Coturnix japonica: one gene and its partner. The protein of the gene in region 2 purifies or fractionates together with the protein of the main gene of each other region. This does not show direct contact. Links are inferred from orthologs where the notes say so. Each region holds a gene or a part of one and is shown on either strand. Other genes may lie near its edges. The genes, in order: METTL9 and SLC30A2.

What was found.
Region 1: the proteins of SLC30A2 (region 2) and METTL9 purify together in Homo sapiens (co-immunoprecipitation; 3 studies listed by BioGRID and IntAct, with this or other methods). This does not show direct contact. The link is inferred for Coturnix japonica from reciprocal best matches to the Homo sapiens genes SLC30A2 and METTL9.

What each region holds. Positions count from the first base shown.
Region 1 is NC_029529.1:8,377,103-8,388,348, reverse strand, and holds the start of METTL9 (methyltransferase-like protein 9), read right to left. Parts: upstream 7,539-11,246; 5' UTR 7,285-7,538; coding exon 7,111-7,284; intron 4,549-7,110; coding exon 4,358-4,548; intron 2,125-4,357; coding exon 1,915-2,124; intron 899-1,914; coding exon 714-898; intron 1-713. Other genes in the region: transmembrane protein 180, read right to left, coding at 10,228-10,357. UniProt on the Homo sapiens protein: Protein-histidine N-methyltransferase that specifically catalyzes 1-methylhistidine (pros-methylhistidine) methylation of target proteins.
Region 2 is NC_029538.1:2,857,812-2,868,939, reverse strand, and holds SLC30A2 (zinc transporter 2), read right to left. Parts: upstream 2,873-11,128; 5' UTR 2,595-2,872; coding exon 2,542-2,594; intron 2,327-2,541; coding exon 2,127-2,326; intron 1,973-2,126; coding exon 1,826-1,972; intron 1,752-1,825; coding exon 1,598-1,751; intron 1,525-1,597; coding exon 1,350-1,524; intron 1,228-1,349; coding exon 1,122-1,227; intron 1,043-1,121; coding exon 908-1,042; intron 827-907; coding exon 681-826; 3' UTR 595-680; downstream 1-594. Other genes in the region: E3 ubiquitin-protein ligase TRIM63, read right to left, coding at 3,573-3,583, 3,697-3,768, 3,857-3,981, 4,096-4,118, 4,244-4,477, 4,579-4,674, 4,941-5,109, 6,047-6,216 and 1 more; serine/threonine-protein kinase PDIK1L, read left to right, coding at 9,557-9,841.

The DNA of each region.
Region 1 (11,246 bases), on a different chromosome or scaffold from region 2:
ACGTACTCATGGATGTCTAGTGAGACAATGCTGTTATTTGGAATATAAAATAATTTTAAATTGTTCAGGAATATGATTTAGCAGAGGGTTGTTAGGGTAGTATGGTTAGGTTGTGGTTGGACTCGATGATCTTTAAGGTCTTTCCCAACCTGAGCAATTCTATGATTCTATGATTCTAAACAGAAGAAGTGAAACAGTCCTACACTGTAGGAACATAGCTGCAACCAAACATACTTGAAAATACCATACAGATGCATAAGTGAAACTCATTTAAGACACACTATAGTTTAGAACTACATGCTCAAATACTATGCTTCAAGCATCTCTTCAAATTATGTTCTTTTTAGACTTTTTTTTTTCCTTTGCCTGTCTCAATCCCCCTCCTTCCCCAGTGTATAATGGCATATAGAAAAACAGTTTTCCCATGTTGCTCCACACGGCTCAAATGTGGCAACCTGCAGAACAGGATATGTGACTTCAATATCTGAGCTTTTTGTTGGTGCCAACAATGTATGCTGGGGAATTAAGAACACGGCTCTTACCTCATGTGTCCTATTTACCTATCATTTCATACTTCTCAACAAGCACACTACAAATTAGTTATAACTAAGTCAAATAAGAACATGTCAATTATTTTAAAAACATTTAATTCAGAATAGGGCCACATACAAAAGTTTTTAGTTGCCTAAATAGCTACTGATCCATGTACTTACCATTTTCCACGTACGGGTGAAATGGCAGAACTAATGCTAGAATGACTCTGCCTCTAGTTGGCTCCAGTACACTTCTAATATCTTTTAATACAGTCAGTGGCTGATCACAACGATCCAGCAAATTCAAACAGCTGATAACATCATACTGAAATCCTGTGTTCTGCCATTCATTTATACCAAGCACCCTACGGAGAGAGAAAAAGAGCCAAGTTCAGAGGGAATCACTGAGGATAAAAATTCCCAATTGATGTGCTGATAGCACAGAAAGATCAGCCAACCAGGCAGTGAGGAAAGGCAGACGCTGTCCTTCTAGTCCTATGGAAAACTACTCAACAATAGGCATGGCTATACATTCAGCCACACCTTCATACTGCCATATAAACACCAGGGTATTATTAAAGTCTGATGTCCTAAATTAAAACTGAACATACTTCTCAAAAGTAACAACAAAGCTGAAATGTGATTAATAGTTTGCAGCATTTAAACCACCCTGACTTACCAGTGTGCAAACCCAGTTGCTATTAATTTTCCTCTTATGGACAGGGAAGAAGAAATCAACAGTTCCTTCATTCTTTGTGTTGAAGTCTAGGGATACAGTACCCCAGACACTAAGCAATATTCAACAAGATCTGCTGCCTACAAGAACTTCCAGCTGTTGTGATTAGAGCACAACAAAGTTCTGAAAGTGATTAAGTTTTTGTTCAAAGTACTGTTAATCTTAATAGCAAGAGCTAAGTATAATAAAAGATTCTTTACAAAGCAGTCTACAATCATAATTTTCTGAGTGATTAGGTGGAGATACCTGAATAATCTGTGTCTATAACCAAGATTCAATTTGCTTGCTCTGCAGCCCCATCAGCTCCTCTTGCAATTTTGGACTGTTCATTCATCAGCATCCAAATTTTGTCTCCCTAATTGCCTTCTTTAAAGAAATTTACACAAACTACGAAAAAAGAGACTTCAAAACAGTTGTTGCCAATTTTGTCTTAACTGGTAACGGGGAACATTTGCATATCAAAAGCCCTGCTAACAAGGAATATCAGATGTGTTTGCATTATTGTTTTTGTACAGTTCAATCCTTTCCATAAAGATCAAACAACATAAAAATAAGCTGAAAATACTGGACATTTATAAAACATTATAAAGATTGTTTTGCTGTAATATCTGGTATAAACAATGTAGGGCGCATTCAGAACAATACCTGTATTTTTTCTTCTGAAGCTGCCATATCATAGTTTCAGACAATTCAGTGGCATAGATTTCTTCAAAGTGAGGACTCATGACTTTAGTAACCTCTCCATCTCCTGCTCCTAAATCGAGCAGTCTGTGGGATTTCCATTCTGGATTTATTTTAAGCAGTCTTTGAAATTGTTCTGGGGAAAACACAAACATTGAGCCCCTTCCCAGCAGCCTGAAAGGTGAAGATGAGAAACATTCAATTTCAAACAAGCTTGAACAGGAAGGACAACAAAGTAATTTAAAATGTGCTTTGGCAGCAATCAGTCACACAATATAGATAAGGTCACTACTCAGATAAATTTACAAATCCACTTCAACTTGCCTTCTACTTGTCAGAGACCACACAAACACATGGCTACATGCAGTTTTAGTGGCTAAGACTTCAGGAGGGATTTGATCAGGAAAGGAGCTTGTGGGCTGCAAAGCAAGAAAATGATCACACACAAAAAAAGCAGGGAGGGGAGAGATAAAGACTAAGCCCTATTTGTCATGTTTGCAGATCTGAATCTCTCCCACCTACCTAAAAAGGAGAAAGAAGACAGAGCAAAGGAAACAGCAGAATGGCTGCAGACAGAAATACTCACAGAGAATAAGGAATAGGATTCGGAACTAGGAGGGACGGCAGGGAAAAGATTTAAAGAAAGCATGGGGATAGCACTGCTGGAGTGGCAAAAGAAAAGACTTCTTAATTGTGTGATACAATGGCTTTTGCTGCTATCTGCAGACCCTGCATTTAACACGAAGAGCTGTCAAACAGAAAATAGGTAAGTCATTAAGGTATTGGGTAGAGGTGACATTTGGATTCTTTATGTATCACATCAATGGCACACACACCCAAAACTGACTGAAGGCTACACAGTGACAGATTTCTGCTGCCACTGCAGAATTCAGAAGATGAAAGAGTTAGGAGAACAAGCAGAGGAAGAAAGAATGGGTCAACGGCAGACTAAAGGTAGTAAAAAATATGTACTGTTTAAACTCATGTTGGATAGCAGGTTAAATTTTAGAAAGAATATGAGCAGAAATCTTATGATCAAGAGGAAAAAAGGTAAACAGATAAAAAGGATGAAAGAATAAAAAATCTGAAAAATAAGAGTTCTAGATACACTATTAAAAACAAACACCACCAACGTAAGGATAGGCTGTACAGGTATGTAGAAGAAACTACAGAAGGATATTAAATATATTTTAAAAACAAACAGAATACAACCAATTTATGCAGAGCCCCTTTGCAGCACACTCATGTCAGTCTACACTGTCTAACTGGCTCCTGGCTATTAAGCATAACAGCACTATGAGGAGGTACTCAAAGCACTGGAGAGCCTTTGAAAAAAAAGAAAGGAAAAAAGAAAGAGAAAGGAATATGAGAAGACCAAAGGAACCTTTATGTAAGCCTACAAGCACTAAAAACACCACAGGGAAGCTCAGAGACACCTGGTTAGAAAATAGAGAAAGATTATTTTCCAAACCTTAGTAGCTACTGTCCTCAAATCAGACTGTACGGAAATATGGACAGATGTGGGGATGGTGGAGAAATGGGGAAATGCAACAAAATGCATTCTTGATAGAGTCAAAAGTGCCAAGTTGTTACACACGTCAGAGCAAAAGAGAAGTGAGTAGAAACTCTGACTTTTTGGGGTGACACACGAAAGCAGCCACGAACAGCAACTTCTCCCACAGCCAACCACAGGAGAAACCAACGTGATGTGACCAGGAGAGCGATGGTTTATGAAATCCTCTATTCCCACCTCACTGACGTTTCATCAGTCAAATGTGCCACACCAGAAGCTACCTGTTCAGGTATAGCTAATACAAAAACCATGATGAAATTAAGTTTTAATGGATAAGAGGAAGGACAGAATCCCATTCCACTTAAGTGTTACAAGACTTCACTCAGCAACTTCTGCATCGTTCAGAAATCTGCCTCATTTTGCATCAGCTATGCACATAAGCCTTAGAGCAATGCAGATCTAACTGGACACAGCCACCTCCAATGAGAACAATCACAATGGGAAACGCTACAGAAATGGCAGCAGATAAAGGGCAAGGAGGAAGAAAAAAAAACAACAGAGAGGAGTACATCATCTAGCACAAAGAAAATACTCTCTTATTTGAGAGGATAATCAGGAGGAAATTAAGTAATGATTACAAAATACAATTAGAGCCCTATGCCTCTCTCCTGACTAATTGCTAACATTCCCTCTGCCTTGCTTATACTGGAACTGGTGTTGTTTAATTAATTGGGTTTAGGGGAAGAGCACAGTAGGGCCTTGCAGAAGGTAGTTTGCCAAAGGGGAAAGCACAGAACCTTAAGAAAAGCTGATATGTCAAGAAGCAAGGCTCAACACCTGAAAAACCTACATCCAAAACGTATGTAGTTTACCTAAGATTGACTTTTCACTTACCCATTGATAGATGTTCTAGACATAAAAAGGCTAAAAATTGAGGACACAAAAGAGTGATAGAGCTGGATAAACAGCCAGCCTGATTTTTCAATGCTGTTGTTTAAGAAGATCTGCGTTCCTTGGTCAAGGTAACTCTGGACAAAAACAGGCTGAAGGGATTCAGACAACTGTTCTGTGTTGCAGACATACCACTGCAGAAAGAGACAAAGGATCGTTAAAAAGTTCAGCAATATAAAAATAGAACCGTTAAAAAGAAATTGAACACAGAGAGCTATTATCAGTTTCTGTAAATACAAAAATTGAGCTTTCCCTCAAGGCTTTTAAACAGGCTTCAGGATTAATTAACTCAGATACGAGCTGTAATCAAGTGCGGACAGATGACTCACTATAAATAACACTTACAATTTTATCTTAATCACTACTTTGTACTTTAAAGAATTTTGTCCAACAACAGTTCCAGAAAGCTATCACAATGCTATGGGACAGCAGCACAGGGGTGGAACAGCATGAAGGGGGACTATGCTGCTTTCTGACTCTGCTCTCAACTTGTCACTGTGTGTCCCTGAAAAGATACAGGAAGTTCATCTGCAATATTTTCTCCAGTTAGAGAGAGAGAGCCTCCAGCAGAGGAGCAAACATCCTCCAGCTGAAGTCTGAACACTCCATGTACTGTGGCTAAGTTGCTGGCAGAACCAAACCCTCAGCAATACTTCCAAGCACACGAGATCTTCTCCTCTCAAACCCACATTTAATGAAACCCCGCACTGTATTGCAGAGCCCAGCACAAGGATCCTCAGGACCGATAACTGCCAGTTCGGGTCCTTTCTCACTGCAGCACAGTGGTACCTGAATGAACCTGCACAGACCAGTGATGCCCAGAAGGATCCTTAGCAGACAGTGAGCAAGCACTCAAAGCAGAGCAGCCAGCACACTTTGCCCATCCATCTGCTGATGGCAGGAGTGGACAGGCCCATAGAGCCGAGGAGCAGGCTGCGATGTGTGTCAGCTCCAGCAGTTGTTGTGAGGCTGCTGCCCAGCCACAGCAGGCGGGCACAGAGCGGCTCCTCACATTGCCATGTTCAATGGAGAAGGAAATACATCCCAGTACCAAAGCTGTGGGAAACACACACTTTGATTCCTAAGAGGTATGAACACCACATGCAGTAACTGAGCTCATATACCCTATAATAATGCTAGTGAGTATTAGAAGTGATACTAAACTGTAGGGGAAAAAAATGACAAAAATCCATCCAAAATAAGTGGTGAAAAACAGCTTAATTCTGCAATAATCCCTCAAAACAGAACTTGCTTTTGTATTCCTCCATGTCCAATTCCTGACCAGCCCTTTTCATGCCACTAGTTTCGTAACAGAAAGTGCATCAATCTGGTAGAGCACAACTGTAGAAAAACTATATACAGCCCATCAAAGAAATCTGAAGAGGAGTTTTAAGGTGCACTGAAATCCAAACCCAGTAAGTGGGAGCTGCTGACAACCGACCTGTGAATGACACCGCTGCCTTCACAGCACGTATTCTTGATCTACTCGTCTTTCTAGTACGGTTTTTAACAGGAAACACTTGCAAGTTTCCTTTGTCCAGAAGAAGGAAGGTTCTTTTTGTAACCTCGGTTTCTGTCATCCTACCATCCACTGAACGACCCGAACGCAGGCTGAGCTCCTGCCCAGTACCAGGCTCACTTGGCCGCAGGGCTCTGGGTGTCGCTGCCCACTCAGAGCACAAAAACCCTCCAGTAACAGACCAGCCCGAAGAACGACGATGTACGTGCTCTTCCTTTGTACAGCAATCCTCAAGTACTTGTATCGTATCTTCCTTAGATAAAGCAGCAGCTTCCTTCAGCTCTGCACGAGTCACCTCCCGTCCGAACTCCTGACAGACCTTCAGCGGCATTTCAGCGAACTGTCCCTCAGAGCTGATCGCAGCTGACAGCCCAGACTGACAATCTGACTACCCCAGAGCCGCCGAACGGCTCCGACGTCCCCGCAGTGCCCCTGGCCGTGCCCGTGCTGCCCAGACACAGCGCTGACCTTCCCCTGCAGTTCTATCGCCCCGCAAACTCGGCTCCACTTCGGCTCCCGCCGCCCCTCCAAGGCCTCAGCGCGCTTTGTCGCGAGCTGCTCGCAGCCTCACGTGTGTTCTTCCGGACGCACCGGCACCGACACGGCGCCGTGACACCGCGAACCCACCGCGAACCAACAGCGAACCCAGCGCATCCACCGCGGCGCAAACACTTCGCTCAGGCGGCGTTTCCCAGCGGGACGAGCAGCCCGGCGGCTCACACAGCGCATAACCCAGCCCGGCTCACACAGCGCATAACCCAGCCCGGCTCACACAGCGCATAACCCAGCCCGGCTCACACAGCGCATAACCCAGCCCGGCTCCCCCAGCCCGGCTCACACCCAGCCCGGCTCCAGCCCCGGTTCGCCGGCCCGGCTCCCCTCAGCCGTCCTTCCCCTCCCTCCTCTCACCCGGGGCGCACACGTCAACTTTCTCGCCGTACGGACGCGTTTCGCCGCCGCTCTTTGTCTCGCCCAGGCGGGCGCTGCCCGGCCCCGGGTCCCCTCAGCCGGCACAGGGCCGCCCCCCCGGGCCGCCCCCCCCGCCCCACTACCTCGGGACTCCCGGCCCCCACCTCCTGCGGCGCTGCCCCGCTGCCCCCAGGCCCGGCGGACGCGAGGAGGGGGCGGGCAGGGCAGGGCAGGGCAGGGCAGGGCGAGCGGGGGCCGCTGTCCGTACCTGGTGGGTCTCCCCGGCGCTCGGCGCGGTCGGGCCGTGGCTGCCCATCATATTCGCGTAGAGGGACCTGGATAAAGGGCTCCGCAGGTACCTGGCGGGACCAGCCCACATCCTCCTCCTCAGCTCCCACAGCAGCACGGTGTAGCAGCCCAGCCAGCACAGCCACAGTCTCATCGGGGGACGGGGCTCGGAGTCACCCCCTCCAGCAGCCGCCGTCTCCCCTCTCCATGGCAGCGGCGCCCCAGCAGGGCCCGCACGTCCAGCTCGGGGCGGAACGCGGCGTCAAGGCGGCGGGACCCGGCCGGACCGATTCGATGCGACACGCCGGGACTGGCGCGCGCCCGCTCCGCGCTTCCTGTCGCCAATCGCGGGATGGCGGGGCGGTGCTGCCCACACAGCTCACGCTGATCACACTGATCACACACAGCTCACACACAGCTCTCACTGCTCACACACTGCTCACACACACAGCCCTCACAGCTCACACACTGCTCACACTGCTCACACACATCTCACACACAGCTCACACACAGCACACACACAGCACACACAGCTCACACACAGCTCACACACAGCGCACACAGCTCACACACAGCTCACACTGCTCACACACAGCTCTCTCACTGCTCACACACAGCTCACATTGCTCACACACAGCTCACATTGCTCACACACAGCTCACACTCAGCTCACACAGCCCTCACCGCTCTCACAGCGCCCAATGGCGGTGTCCGACCCGCCGCTCGCCCCGCCCCGCCAGCCGCGTGCCCCGAGCTGCTGCAGCGCGAGGCGCGGGATGGTCGGCGTTGCACCGCACCGTGCAGCACGTGCAGCGCGAACTGCGCACAGTGTGAGTGCGTGCACAGCGTGCGAGGGAGTGACCCAGGAACACGGCACGTGCAGCTGCAGTGTGCCCTAAGCACGGAAATAGAACTGAAATATAACAGCTCTGGCTTCTGTTACTGTTACAACAAGGCGACTACCAGAACGAGTAATCAAAATCAGACGATCAAAACCGATACCGTGGGGAGAAGGGATTTTCGATGAGGCAACATTCCGTTCACAAACGCCTCCTGGTTCTGCGGGTCCATCCAGCTCCGTTCAGACCGACACCGCTGAGTCTCCATATGTGCCTTTACAAAACCTTCTTCCTGAGCTGACGGGATAGAGCTCACAATTACTTGTGGAGATGTGGCTTATCTGAACTGTTCTGTCCTTTCCTTCCTCATCTTTCCCGACAGCTCCAACTAAGATACACAGCCACACTCCAATGTAAACACCCCACTAGTCTATCGACCCAATGTGTTCAGGAATTACCGAGCAGTTCCAGTCACAGCAGGACATTGTTCTTGGTACAGAACAAGAGGAGCCAGCTGTGGGCTACACAAGAAATGAATCTCTTTTTTTCCTACTTCAATACTCTTTGATGTCATTTACTCTTCCTTCAGGTCATAACTAATCACACAGCAACATTTCTTACTATTAAATGACAATTTGATAGACACCTTATCAATGTATTACTGTAATACGGTGTATTATTGTGTCATGTTGCGTATTAAGATCAAAATTCGCAGAACTTCTAAAGAAACTCTATGAAGTAACGAGATGAAGCATCACACTTCCCATTCTCTGATGTTATCAAAACACTTCCTATTCTATATTATACATACTTACATTCCCACTATCACTATGAAGCTATTTTTAAACGCTGTTAAATCATCAAGAACAAACTGTGGCACTTTTCCAGCAGTACGACTCCAAACTCAGATACTATGAGCTAATAGGGAGAGAAAGCAGGCAAACAGCTGTTAAAAGACACTGAGCTTTTGCATTTGATCATCCATTATTTGATTCGTGGCCAAGAGCAATCGTGTTGGTTTAGCAAAGGATAACAAAGTTTAATGAATGACAGAGAAAAGGAGAACAAATTATGTCAGTGATGAAACACTGTCAGCTTCCTACCACTATCTCTTGTAGTAAGACCACCGCCTCAATTGAAGCCAGTTTTTCACTTCTCTTTTAGATTGATTATGGATGTGATTAAATATGCTTGCTTTCTCCTGCCCTCATAGCAAGAGAATTAGGACAGTGTGTGCAAAACAGAGATAGGATTCAATGTTTCTGAAATAGTATAAAGAAATCTTTATTCTAGAAAAATCACAGGATCCATTCAAAAACTTGCCTGAAAAGATTCTGGTGAGGCTAAATCAGAAATTAACATCAACTGGATGAATGATTCATCAATTAAATTCAGTGGTGAGCACAAACGAATCTGCCAATCTCAAACTACTAAGCAGGTAGAGTTGGACTTAATGTGTGCACTAAGATTTGTCCCGACGTACTGAACGCTGCTATATCCATATGCTCACGTTTTTCTTACCACAATGACATTTGGTATAAACTAACAACACTGCCTCAAAACAATTTGCCCATTCAAAACGCCAGGAACTACATCTACCTGCCACCAAATGCAGACATTGTGAAAGCCAAGGAGGAAGTATGGCGCCTTTTCCATCACACTTAATTGAATAACATTTAAATATTTTCCTTATTTAGTTTTACAGAGATTTTTGTACAGGGTCTCTTCCTGTAGCAGCTGGCAGCTTTGAGTTGATACTGGCCAGCTGGACACCAGCTATATGTTTTTCTTCATCTCTTTGCCATCCCTGAGGGACGTCCCTCTGGGCTCTTATGGCCTAACCCCAAAGATCTGACATTTCATCAGCTATGACCGAATTCATCCACCACCATTCAGTAAAGCTAAGAACAAACATCCCTCAAATTCCAAGTGCTGAGCTGGGATTCCCTCACCTGATCTGCCATATCCATTCTTCAAAGCAGGTAACAGTGACCAGTATACACCAAAAACAACTTTGGTAGTAATTATGGATAAAGCACGATACTTTCAAATAACTCAACTCAAAACCCTCTCTATATAGGCTCATCATTAAGGCTGAATGTGAATTATTTTCCATTACAGAGATGGGTGCAACACTACTGAAATGGCTCAAACTGTATTTGGTCTAACAGTCTGCTTAAGGCCATCTTGCTTTTTCACACTTAATATATGCTAAGTCTTTTGTGGTATGGTCCATTTAATTACCAACAGTCAAATATTCAGTGTGCAGCCGTCATATGACTATTCTGGATTGAAAAGGGAGTCCACGTCAGGATCTGTATGACTGCAACGCCAAGTGGAACCAGACAGATCAAATAGAACATGGCATCATGAAGACCTACAAACAGACTGGTGAAAAACATGAAAACATGTTAAAGCTTTTAAGATGAAGGAGAATCATTTTCTATGGTCGTTTCATAACAAATTACTTTAAAGCATTCATCTTAAATATTCACATACACATTACTGTGAACAATCAATACTAAATAAAGGAAATATCTCAGATATCAAATACGTTTCAGTTATATTTTGTGATTCTACATACAGATATATTTCATAGTGTTTACTTCTCTCATAATAGCTGGGAGGAAATGAGATAACTACATTACTACACATCTGTATTATTTAATACAGAAAATAATTTAAAGCAATGTGATTCAATTATAGAACAGAGCATCAGAAAAGGTTTAGTGGTGCTGCATGTTTTGGAAGAGAGAGAAAAACAGCAGTAGGAGCAAGCAGTTTGATATGGAATTATTTCACATCTGAATTACTAGCTATCCACATAGCATGTTACTATAGTTGCTGAATGCAAGGTGGGAGTTATGATTAATGCACAAAGCGCAGGTGTGGTGCAATAAATTGGCTGCTTGAAATGGGAAGACTAATTTCATCTCACTGTTTTGAAATAAATTTTTACAAGATAATGGAAACCACCAACATAATACACAGATTCTCATTCGTTTTCCTGGATGAATGGTATTTCTTGATCTAAATCTTCTTAAGGAATAAAAGCACCCACAACTATGAATCACAAAGGAGAATATGAGACACACATAACTCTTCTTCTGATACCCAGTGTGGTTTCTGACACTCAAAGCACACATTCTGGCATTCATTGAGTAACTGGAATCATCTACTGACACTCTGTTCATTATTGGATTTTAATTACTTAAATATCAGGAATGTCAACTCAAGCTGAGAAATAGGACCTAAATTATATTTCAGAAAATCAGTT
Region 2 (11,128 bases):
AGTGCTGCCAAGGGGGCTTTATTCCTGATTGGGTTTTACCAGTGCAATAAAGGTCGGTGGAGGTGTGAAGTCTGACACGGGGTGAGCATTCTGTACCCAGCAATGGCACAGCACTGTGCCACCTCTCACAGCACCTCTGGGCTCAGCAGCCACTGCTGTGCTCCCATGTGTTGTCCCCGAGCCCTGCTCCACACATTGCAAGGCCAACATCCCGTGCCTGTGTCCCTGTGATGCTTTCCTGCCACCATCCCCACTCTGCTAACAGCTGGCCGGGAGGGCTGAGCTTCCCAAAGGTAAACAGAGCTGCGATAAGAGGTGAGAGCAGAGCGAGCCGGTCCTCCCTCCCCCCCAGAACGGGACAGTGGGATCGAGGGCTCCTCCCCCTGCACCCCTCCACCCCTCTCTACCCCCAACGCTCCCCAAAGCTGGGGGGGAAAAGCATTGTTTCAAACGCTTTTCACAGCTAAAATAGTGGAAAGAGAAGCAAGCGCTGCCCTCCGCCCCCTCCTGCAGCCCGGGCTCTGCTCTCACTGCCGTCACTCCCCGATAAAGCCCAGCTGCCTCCAGACTCAACATCACCCATCCCGAACCCAGCCCCCGCGGGCACCCGGCGCTGCTGTTTGCTCGCGTTTATTTTCCTCCTATTAAAAAAAACTGGTGGGAGAGGGACAGGGTGGAACTCAGTCGCTGGGGGGCTGACATTCACGGCAGTCCCGCATGTCCTCGGAGTAGCTCTCGATCTGGATGGTGGTGGTGTGGAAGCGAAAGGCACGCTGCAACCTGGAGCTGGCCTCCTCCAGCACCTCCTGCGAGTCGGCATCCGCATCTACAAGGAGCCCGGAGGGTTGTTGGGGGCCGGAGGAACCCCCATATCCCATTCCCCGGCCCTGCATCCCTCAGCACTCACTGATGGCGATGTGCACAGAGAGCAGCGGCTGCGAGGCTGTCAGCGCCCAGATGTGCAGGCTGTGCACCGCCTCCACGCCGCCCACCGCCAGCAGAGTGTCCCGCACCGCGTTGAAGTCCATCCCCCTGGGGGTGCCTGGAGGGACACGGGGTGGGATGGGGATAAGGCACTTATGGGAGGGGGGTACATATCACCACTCTGGGGGGCTCCCTACCCTCCATGAGGACGAGGAGGACGTCACGAAGGATGGTCAGCGTTGTCCCCAGCACCAGAACGGAGAAGAGGAAGGTGCAGATGGGGTCCACAAACTTGTACTCAGGCTGGGAGGGGTGGAAGCAGGTGAAACCCCAACAAGTGCAGCCAAATCCCCATTAACAATCAACCCCATCTCACCTCATGGCTGGACAAGACTATGTCCCCCATATCTCCCTCCCCTCCATACCTTAAAGAAGATGATGTAGGATGCAATGAGGACGCCGACGCTCTGCAGCAGATCCCCCACCACGTGGACGAAGGCAGCACGGACGCTGGCATTGGGCTGTTCGTGGGTGTGGGGCTGCTCATGAGCCCCTCCATGGCTGTGCCCATGGCCTGTTTGGTGCAGAGCCACCCCCATCCTGCAGGCAGGGCAGCAGTGACTTCCCCAGCCACCAATCTCCTGCCCAGGGGTTGACAGCACATCATACATACACAATATTGACGGCCACGGCGCAGGCAGAGGTGATGAGCATGACACTGCCTTCAATGTCGTAGTCACCCAAGAGCAGGCGTTGGGCCGCCAGGTACACCAGGACACCCGTCACCACCCAGATGGACAGCACAGAGAGCAGGGCCCCCAGGATCTCTGCAGACAGCCCTCCATGTCATTGTGCCATAGGGATGGCACACAATGGGGCTGTAGCTGGATCCTGAGGTTACCTGCCCGGTGCCAGCCAAAGTTCATGGTTTTGGTGGCGGGACGTGAGGACACCCAGAGGGCAAAGAGGCTGATCATGATGCTGGCAAAGTCCGTCAGGAGGTGGGCAGCGTCCGTCAGGATGGCCAGGCTGTGTGCCAGGTACCCACCTGTGGTATGGATGGGGGATCCCCATCCAGATCCAAGCATATGGGCATCCCATGGCAAAACGAGGTGCCCTGCCTGCCCCACGCCTGCACCCACAGCACAGAATGAGACAAGAGGGGCCATGCAGGGCAATGTGTTCACCCAGCGTTCACTCACCCACAGCTTCCCCCACCATGAAGATGAGGCAGATGCCAGCAGCCACATAGAGCTTCCTGCGTGCCCGCTGCTGCTGGTGGGGGTCGCTATCAGCCCCCCTTGCATGGCAGTGCCGGCGGTGCCGTGCCCTCAGCTCCAGGGTGGGCGCCTGGCCCTGCGCTGAGCCGGCTGTGTGCTTCTGTACCATCCCCAAGTAGGACCTGCAGGGAAAGGTGACATCGGGGCACCCGGTTGGGGGACATGGGGGAGGGAGGAAGGGATTTGCAGCCCGCTCTTTGCATTTAGCCCTGCTCCGACGTGTCCCCTTCCCCAGATCCTCTCCCTAAACAGATGGCTTTGGCAGACCCCATCCGGGAGCACAGTGAGGAGAGGGGTGCACGCAGGTTTCCAGCCCCCCCCCCATTCACCCTCTTACCTGCCCACTCCCTCGCCCAGCAGCTGCTGCTTCTCCCCTCCGCCCGCTGCCATCCTGCGGGGTCCGGCGCTGCTGACCCCGATGCGGGTCCGGAGCTGGTGGCAGCTGTGACCGCGGCCGTGTGAAGCACCGGGACCCGTGTGCAAAGCAAGGCCGGGGGGAGGAGGGCCAAGCCGGCTGCAAATCGCTTGCTGAGCCTCGCCCCACGCTGGCCGTGCCGCAGCCCGCAGCCGGGGGGCTCTCGGGGTCACGGAGGGGCTGCTCTGGGCATCCCCATGTGTATCACACAGAAGCACATCTTAACCTGCATGCAGGATGTGGCTGCATCCCTTAAGGACAGAGCTGCATTGGTGCACCCCCTCCCCACCATGGGAACAACCCCCCCCCCCCCAGTTTGTGGTTGGACACCCCCATAGCAGTGACTGCACCCCACTGCCCCCAGGAGCAGCACTGATTGCTGTGGGGCTGACTCCAGCTCTGGGCTCTGCTTTCAGCACTGCCTCAGTTTACCCTCAACCCTGAGCTGGGTTTATGTTGGCACAGAAGAACCCGACTGTGCTGTGATTTTGGACCCATGTGAGCTCAGCTCCATGCTGTCCCCTTTTGGGGCTGGCAGAGTTTGGAGCACCGTCACCCCATGTCCCCGAGGCCGGGTAAGCACTGGGATAAATCCTGCTGGGTGCTGACCTGTCACATCCCGGGAGCACAGCCAGCATGAGGTGCCAAGGCCACCAGAGGTGTTAATTAGGCTGAGAATTGGGCACTGATCCCATAGCAGAGAACACTCCCACATCCCCAAACCCATCACAGGGTGAGAAAACGAGAGGTGAGAGAGGAAAAGAAAACAAAAGCCAGAGCACCAGTTTTCTGTACAAAATACACAACTCCATTACAATTATATACAAAACAAGGAACATATAAAACGTGCGGAATAGTCCTCTTGGCACCCGTATAGAAAAGTGTCCTGTACTGGAGCTGGATGGCCGGCCCCGTCAGTGTGTCCCCAGGTTCTGTCCTGGACATCCTGTGTCCTACTGGGGGGCTGCAGAGGGAGAGGGCAGTGAGTGGGACTTCATCAATCCTCTGTCATCCCCTCTGTCTGTGGGGTTTCCGCTGTGATGCTGCTGGTGCCGGCACAGAGAGGGCTGGCCCTACCTGCCACCACCCTTTCGGGTTCTGTGTCTCCTGTATCTTCTTCCACCTCTTCATAGAACTCATCTTCTTCATCTGTAAACAGGCACCGGATGTCAGTGAGGGGCAGCTGCTGAAGGACCTTCATTGTCAGATCCCAAAGGGTTTTTTGGGGTGGAATTACCTGGCTCAAAGTCGAGGGCGCGGACAGCATCGGCGAGGTGCTCAAGACTGACTGTGAAGGCGTCCATGCTCTCATAGCCTTGCTCGATCTTCTCCAGCTTGCCACCCTTAGAGGCTTCCACAATGCTGGGGGAGGGAGCACAGCATTGATCCCACAGCCCCAAGCATAGAGCAGAGCCATATGACCCACATCTGGCAGGGGATGGGGATCCCACAGCTTTCCCCAGTTCGGGCACTTACGTTTTAATGAGCTGCTTGGCATTCTGTGGAAGTAAGAGGAAAGGTGAGGATGGCAGAGTAGCAACACCCAGCATGTCCCTGTGCCACCAGGACGTGGCACAACAGACTCCCAATAGGAAGCAAGGGCTTTAGGGGTTGGGGGTCTCACCATGAGGAAGGCGGCCCCGCCGGTCTCCTCCATGGCCTGGATGGCCGTCTCCACCAGCCGGCTGGACTTCTCCAGCTGCTCCTTGTACTTGTGGATGAGGCCCTGCACAAAGCCTGTCTTGTCCTCCTGCTCACGGGTGATGCGTCCCAGTAGCTCCGTCTTCTTCTCCTCCAGCAGAGCCATAAACGCATCAAAACGTGAGCAGAGCTCTTGCTTGGCCGCCTCGCTGTTCTCCTATGGGGACAAAGATGTGTCCTTCCAGCCCCTGTGTCCTCTGCTCAGGGGCTGCCTCCCCCAGCACTTGGTTTCTGGGGGGATGTTTCCATGTCCCTCACCTCAGTGCTGCGGCAGGAATCTTCCAGCTGGGAAATGATGGTCTGGATGCGGTCGTTCCCCGCTACTAGCATGGAAATGCAGTTGTTCAGCTCGCTCTGGGAAGGGACAGATGGACAGAAGCAGCTTTAACCCCTGCAGGGCACAGATGGGTGCTGCCAGGGTATCACGATCCAGCCCCCATCCCACAGGCTGAGAGGGGGGGGCATCGCACTAAATATAGGCCTGTCTCCTGGTCAAAGTCAGCCTGCTGCCTATTAATACCCCATGAGGCATCCCAATGCTATTTGCAGCCACCCTAGCTCAGCACATCGCCCAGATCTGGCCATTCCCCACTGTGGCCCCATGTCCCCCCATGTTGCACCTTCTGGCCCTGGAAGATGCTCTGCAGAGGGGCGACTTCGCAGTCCTTGTGAGCACCGAAGACCTTGCACATGGAGCAGGTGGGGACCTCGCAGGTGACGCAGTAGATGTTGATCCTCTCATCCTCATGATCCTTGCACATGGGGTGCTCCCCCTTCTTGAGCGGCCTGCTGGAGAGAGCAGCCCAACCACAATGACATCCCCAGCACAATGACATCCCCACCATATTGACGTCATGTCCCCATCATGGTGACGTCCCCACAGCAGTGACCTCCCCACCCAATGCAGAACTACTGCCCCATAACCGGATCCTGGCCTTATCCTCCTGCATGCCCAGTAAGCCCAGTTTGTAGCAGTGTGTCATCAGGCATGGCAGCAGTTGGGGCCACGCTCCAGGGATGCTACACAAGCTCCTAATTTTAGCTGAGTGCTGCTGGCATTTATTATTATCATCCAACGCGTGACCCGGGCAGGGGCTCCAGGGAGCTCAGGGGGGTGACAGCCATTGAGTCACCACTGGGGGGTTCGCCAGCTCCCCCCCGGGGGCTGCTGCCACCTGCCACGTGCCTTCCATCCCTGTTCCCATGGAGCTGGAACAATATTTACAGTGGGGCAGGAGAATGGGGAGATGAACTCACATGTCTGGGTCCTTTAAAAAACATCACCCCCCTGTTTGTCCCCCTCCTGCTGCACCTCTGCCACTAAGTAATGCTGTCAGACCCCTCAGGCTGTCCCCCTGTCCCTTATCATTCCCTGCTGTCACAAGCAGAGCCTGGATTTGTCCCTCACACCCCTTATCTTCAACATAAAGCCAAAGCTGCAGGGTGCCAGGATGGGGGCTGGATTCGTTCTTCTGCCACCCCCTTAGGGTCCCCCTGTCCCCACAGAGCAACCGCAGACTAGAACAGCACAGGCTGGGAGGGAGGTTTGGGCTGGGAGATGGAGATTTGTGTTGGGGGTGAAGATTCGAGTTGAGAATGGAGATCTCAATTGTGAGGTGGAGATTTGGGTTAGGGAAAGGTGGGGAGGGGAGCACCAAGCCAGCCTCCCTGGTTCCTCGCCCCCCCAAAAATGATGTGGCTGCCCCTGTGTCCCCATAGGACCAACCTGGAGAACTCCTGCTTGTAGATGTCGATGATGTTCTCCACCAGCAGGTTCCTCTGCAGCCCGTAGACACCGTGGCGGTCCAGCAGGACCTCATGGCGACACGTAGGGCAGCGGAACCGGCCCCCTGAGATGATGCTGCTGCCCCGGCTCTGCCAGTATGGGTTGGCAGCCTGGAGGGGGACAAGGACATCGGGGTGTCCCCAGGTGCCCCTGCAGAGCATCCCAGAGCAGGGCAACGTCCAGGGGGGTCCTCATCTCACCTGGAAGATGTCGTTGGCACACTTGCGGCAGAGGTTATGCTGGCAGGGCAGGATCACCACAGGCTTGCTGAACATCTCCAGGCAGATGGGGCACAGTAGCTGCTTCTCCAGGCTCTCCATGGGGCTGCCATCACGTAGGATGCTGGGCTGGAAATCCATTGGTACGGCACTGCTGCTCCTCCTCAGAGCAATCTCAGTTCTGGAGCCGGAGCCCCTCGTGCAGCTTTTATCCATAGCCCAGCAATCACGTGGAGTCGGCTCGGCTGTCCGAAGGTATCAGCTGTCACATGGCGGTGACAATCGAGGCGCGCGGCCGCAGTAAACAAGCTGGGGACATGCTGGGGACATGCTGTCCGTATGGCCCTGCTGGGGAACACCGAGAGACTGGGGGGGGGTCGATGCTGCTGGGGAGTCAGGATGAAAAAGCACCGGGCTGGGGGTTTGCATTGCCCTTTGCACCCTCAAAATGCAACTTCTTGTGGGGTGAAAGGCACCTGCAGGGCAGCTGATGGCTTTTTAGCTGAACTGCAGCACCTGGGGGATACAGCAAATGTGCTTGGTGCGTGCACCCTCTCTTCCTCATGCTTCTCTGCACCCCAAAAATCCATATAGCAGCCTGCAAGGGGGTTCCCAAGCACAGCAGCACCATGCTGCACATCCCACATGCCCGGCTGTGCCCTGCACTTGTTTGCAAAACCTGACCCAGAAACATCAACAGGAAAACAGGAGTGTGGCCCCTCCAGACTGCTCCCAGCTGGGAGCCGCCCTGATCACATTGCCTGGCTGTCAGCTGGCACACCAGTAAACACGGTGTTCTTCCAAATCCCAGCGCCGGTGCACAGGGAGACCTGTAAATATTGGCAGCTGCAGGGGAGAGGATAATTATAACACCTCTGCTGTGGGTCACAGGACGGGGTTGGGTGAGGTGGCTTCTCTGTTCCCCATAGAGCCCAATGGGTAGGAGGTGCTGCAAGTGGCCAAAGGGATGGGTGCTGAGATGCTGCGGTAAGTGGGTGGTGGGTGCACAAAGCCATGGGCACACAGAGGCACAAGTGCATGGGTACATGGGAGCAGGGGTATCTGTATAGAGGGCTGTAGGAGTGCACAGGTGCATGGGTGCACATTGATGCATGAGTATGCAAGTACAGGGGTAAATGAGGTTACTTGGGTGCACAAAGGGTACAGGGGTGCACAGATAGATGGGTGCATGACCACATGGATACGTGGGTGCACAGCTGTATGAGTACACTTATGCATAGGGACACAGCACAGTGGGTGCACGCTATAGGGGCTCTAATATTGTCCCAGATGAACCCCCCAGACATGGGCAGCCTGTGACTGTTCCAGACGCTCCTTCCAGGAAGGCTCTCACATGTCAACCAAGTGACAGCACAGAAGCCAGCCAAGCACATCTTGCAACATTGTCCCCTTTTTGGCACTGGGAGACCTTCCAAGGAGGTTTGTACATTGAGATACACACCGTAAGGGAGGGAATGGGGGGGGGACCGGATGCACACCTGTCCCATTGCTGGCCCTGCCCACTGAACTCATCACTGCTGGACTTTATGAAGGGGATTCCCACAAGAGGATGAGCTGGAACGCCCCATTCGGTTTCCCAGCCCCCAATGGCTCCTCCTCAACCCCCAGTTGGCTCCGAGCAATGCAGGCACGGCTGCCAACCAACCAACCCGAGCGCTGTAAACACAACCTCCATCTGCTCCCTGCTGCCATTGAGGACAGCGGGGGAGCCCAGAGACGCTGCCAATGATGGGGCAGGTGAATAAATGGGTGAAGAAATAGATGGGTAAATAAATAGGCGAATAGAGGGATAGGTAAGGGGCTGTCATTGCAAAGCTGCGCCGCTGACACGCAGATAAAGTGAAGCAGAGGAGCTAGGCTCGCTTGCTGTCCCACCCCAAGCAACGAAAAAAGAGATAAATAAAAAAGAGATAAAGAGGAAATAGATAAAGAAGAAATAGATAAGCACCAATGCCTACATACACGCAGCCAATCAGAATGCGGTGCGTCAGTGGGCGTGGCCTTCGGGGGGTCGGTCCCTATGATGGCGGCCGGGCGGCGGCGGCGCGGCCTTAGTGCGGAGGTAACGCGGGGCTTTGGTGGGTGTTGCGGGGTCCCACCGCATAACACGGAGCTCCCGAGCGTTGAGAGGGGCGGGCAGGGGTATAATGGCGTTGTGGGAGAGCTACGAGGGGTCTGGGTGTTGTATCGGGGCCTTGCGAGGCCTCGGTTTGCCGGAGCTTGGTGCCCTCGCACTGATGATGCCTGTCTTTCTTTCTCTCTCTGTTTCTTTCTCTTTTCCGAACAAATAGTTCCTACCGCACTGGAATCAATCGCGAGCTCCTCGTTAATAGCTCTGATGAGATCCTCCCTTCCCCATCAAGGCGTTTAAACGCAGTTCTCACTGCGGCCTTGCCGGCCTGGCCCTCCCCTGGTGTTCTGTATGACACAGCTGCCATTGCATTGGGGTCATCGGGGCCTACACGGTGTGGGGCTGCCCTTCTTCCTCCCCCATTCCGAGCTGTGTGTGTTGTTTTCCTCATAGAGCATCGCTCCACCCCATATCCTATGGAGTAACGAAGTCAGCTGGGTGCTTCTGCTGCTTCTTGTGACAGTAGGAGCTAGTTGGGAAGTCATAGCGATGTTAAAAGATCAGTGATGCTTCCTATCTCATCTTAGTGCCAGAAGAAGGAAAACCATTGTTAAGTTATCACAGCGAGCTTTACCTATGCGGTCATCTTAAAAGTCAGCTCTGTTTCAACCTGTTACTCCTCAACTGCAGGTTTCAGCTAGAAACTCTCTGATATCCCAGGTGTGGATGGAGAGCATGAAACAGCCCTGTTATTCGCATAGGAAAACCCAAAAGACACTGAGGGAAAGGAACAGCAGGATATGGGATAGCCCTGCCTCAGCGCAGTGCAATTCTAGGTTTGAATTGTTGCCTTCTTGAACGCTGAGCTGTGTTTGAAATCATATAGTCCCACCCAAATGATGTATTAGCCAGCCCTTATTATGGCTTCAAGCTTACAAGAGTGACTTCTGAAGTCTTCCAGCACTGGAGCACAGCATTGCATTCAATGTGATGCTCAGAGACCTCCTTGCACGCTGCAGGGTGTTGGTGCAGCTGGCATTGCCACGCCAGGCCATATGGGGGAAGACACAGCTCAGTTCTTGTTCATAAGTTATAGTTGTGTGGGTTTTTCCCCCTTCCCCAGAAGCCTTGATCTTGAAGATGGTGAGTAGCCAGCCTAAGTACGATCTAATACGGGAGGTTGGTCGTGGCAGTTATGGTGTGGTGTACGAAGCAGTCGTCAGGAAGACCTCTGCACGGGTGGCAGTGAAAAAGATACGGTGCCATGCTCCAGAGAACGTGGAACTAGCTCTGCGTGAGTTCTGGGCACTTAGCAGTATCAAGAGCCAGCACCCCAACGTCATTCACCTGGAGGAGTGCATCTTGCAGAAAGATGGCATGGTACAGAAGATGTCACATGGCTCCAGTTCTTCCCTTTATTTACAGGTACATGAAGCTGAGGTAACGGGGTGGAAGTGCTTATGTGGATGTGCAGCTGGGAGGGAAGGAGGTGGGTAGCTAAGATGGCTTTTGAGGTATATTTAGGCAGGAGAGGGTATCGTTTGCTTTATTTTATGTCTTTAAAAGAGCTTATCTATTGAACAATCACCTGCATCTTTTAATTTGAAGCCATGCGACGCTAAAGGCTCCAGGACTTGCTTTGCTAAGTTGGGGAAACACCACAGGGGGAGGTGCAGGCCTGTAGAGTCCTGCTGCAGGGTTAATGAGCAGCACTAATGTCTTGAGGCAGAGCCCTGAAGGATTTCTTAATGTCAGATGCCTTTGGAAGGGGCTGTCTTGATGTAGTAAGCCAACGTTTAACTCTTCCCAGATGTAGTAAGCAATTAAGAGAGCTCATTGAGCTGGTAAATAACTTCAAAGAGAAGTAAATGTATGGTATGTAGAGGAATAGAAGAGTAGATACTGCTATCCTTTCTGTTGGGGCTGTTGAAAATGGAGTTGCCTAGAAGTTGGAAGGCAAGTATTTCAGAGCAATACGTAGCCCTGGAAGGACCTGAAAGCTCATGTGAGCTTGCTAGGAGTCTGCCCCAGCTCTAAATCATCCCCTGGCAGACATTTGTCTCTCTGATATTAAAGAATCAGCGGCCTGCTAAATAAACATGTGCTGCATTATCCCCGATCAGCTTCTATCATTTCAGTTTTTATTGTTGTCATTCTTGCATGGCTGACACTGAATCTTTTGTTAGTGTGCACTCATTTGCCAACACTTCATTTGCCAGCACTTCATGGCTGTTCTGATCCCCTTGTGCTGGGTGTTCTGCGAGCCTGAGAAAGGCTTCTTGCCTTTGTCAACTTGCCCTAGCACAGTCATTGTTAATGGCACGTTGCCACGAAGGGATTAGGGTAAAATAATACTGATCGGCTCACGTGGGGTAAAAGTAGTACCTTATTTTGTTAGTGGAGCTGTAAGATACTGCATCAGACTTGCAGGGAGCTGCAAAGGGAGAAGATAGGGGGGAAAAAAAGAGGGGTGTGAGGGAGGCTGCAGGGTGGGACTGTGAGTGAGGAAGAGCTCCCAGGTCACTGCTGGGTTATGTCAGCAGTGCAGCATGCAGACCTTGCCCGTGTTTGGGGCACAAGTGCTGCAGGTTGTTTTCTTGCTCCAAAGAGCAGAGAAGAGCAAAGGGCAGAGCTGAGTGCAGAGATCACTTTATGATAGCCTATGCTGAAAGAGAGAAACCCAGATCTCCCTTGGCTTGCTCTCTCTTCTGC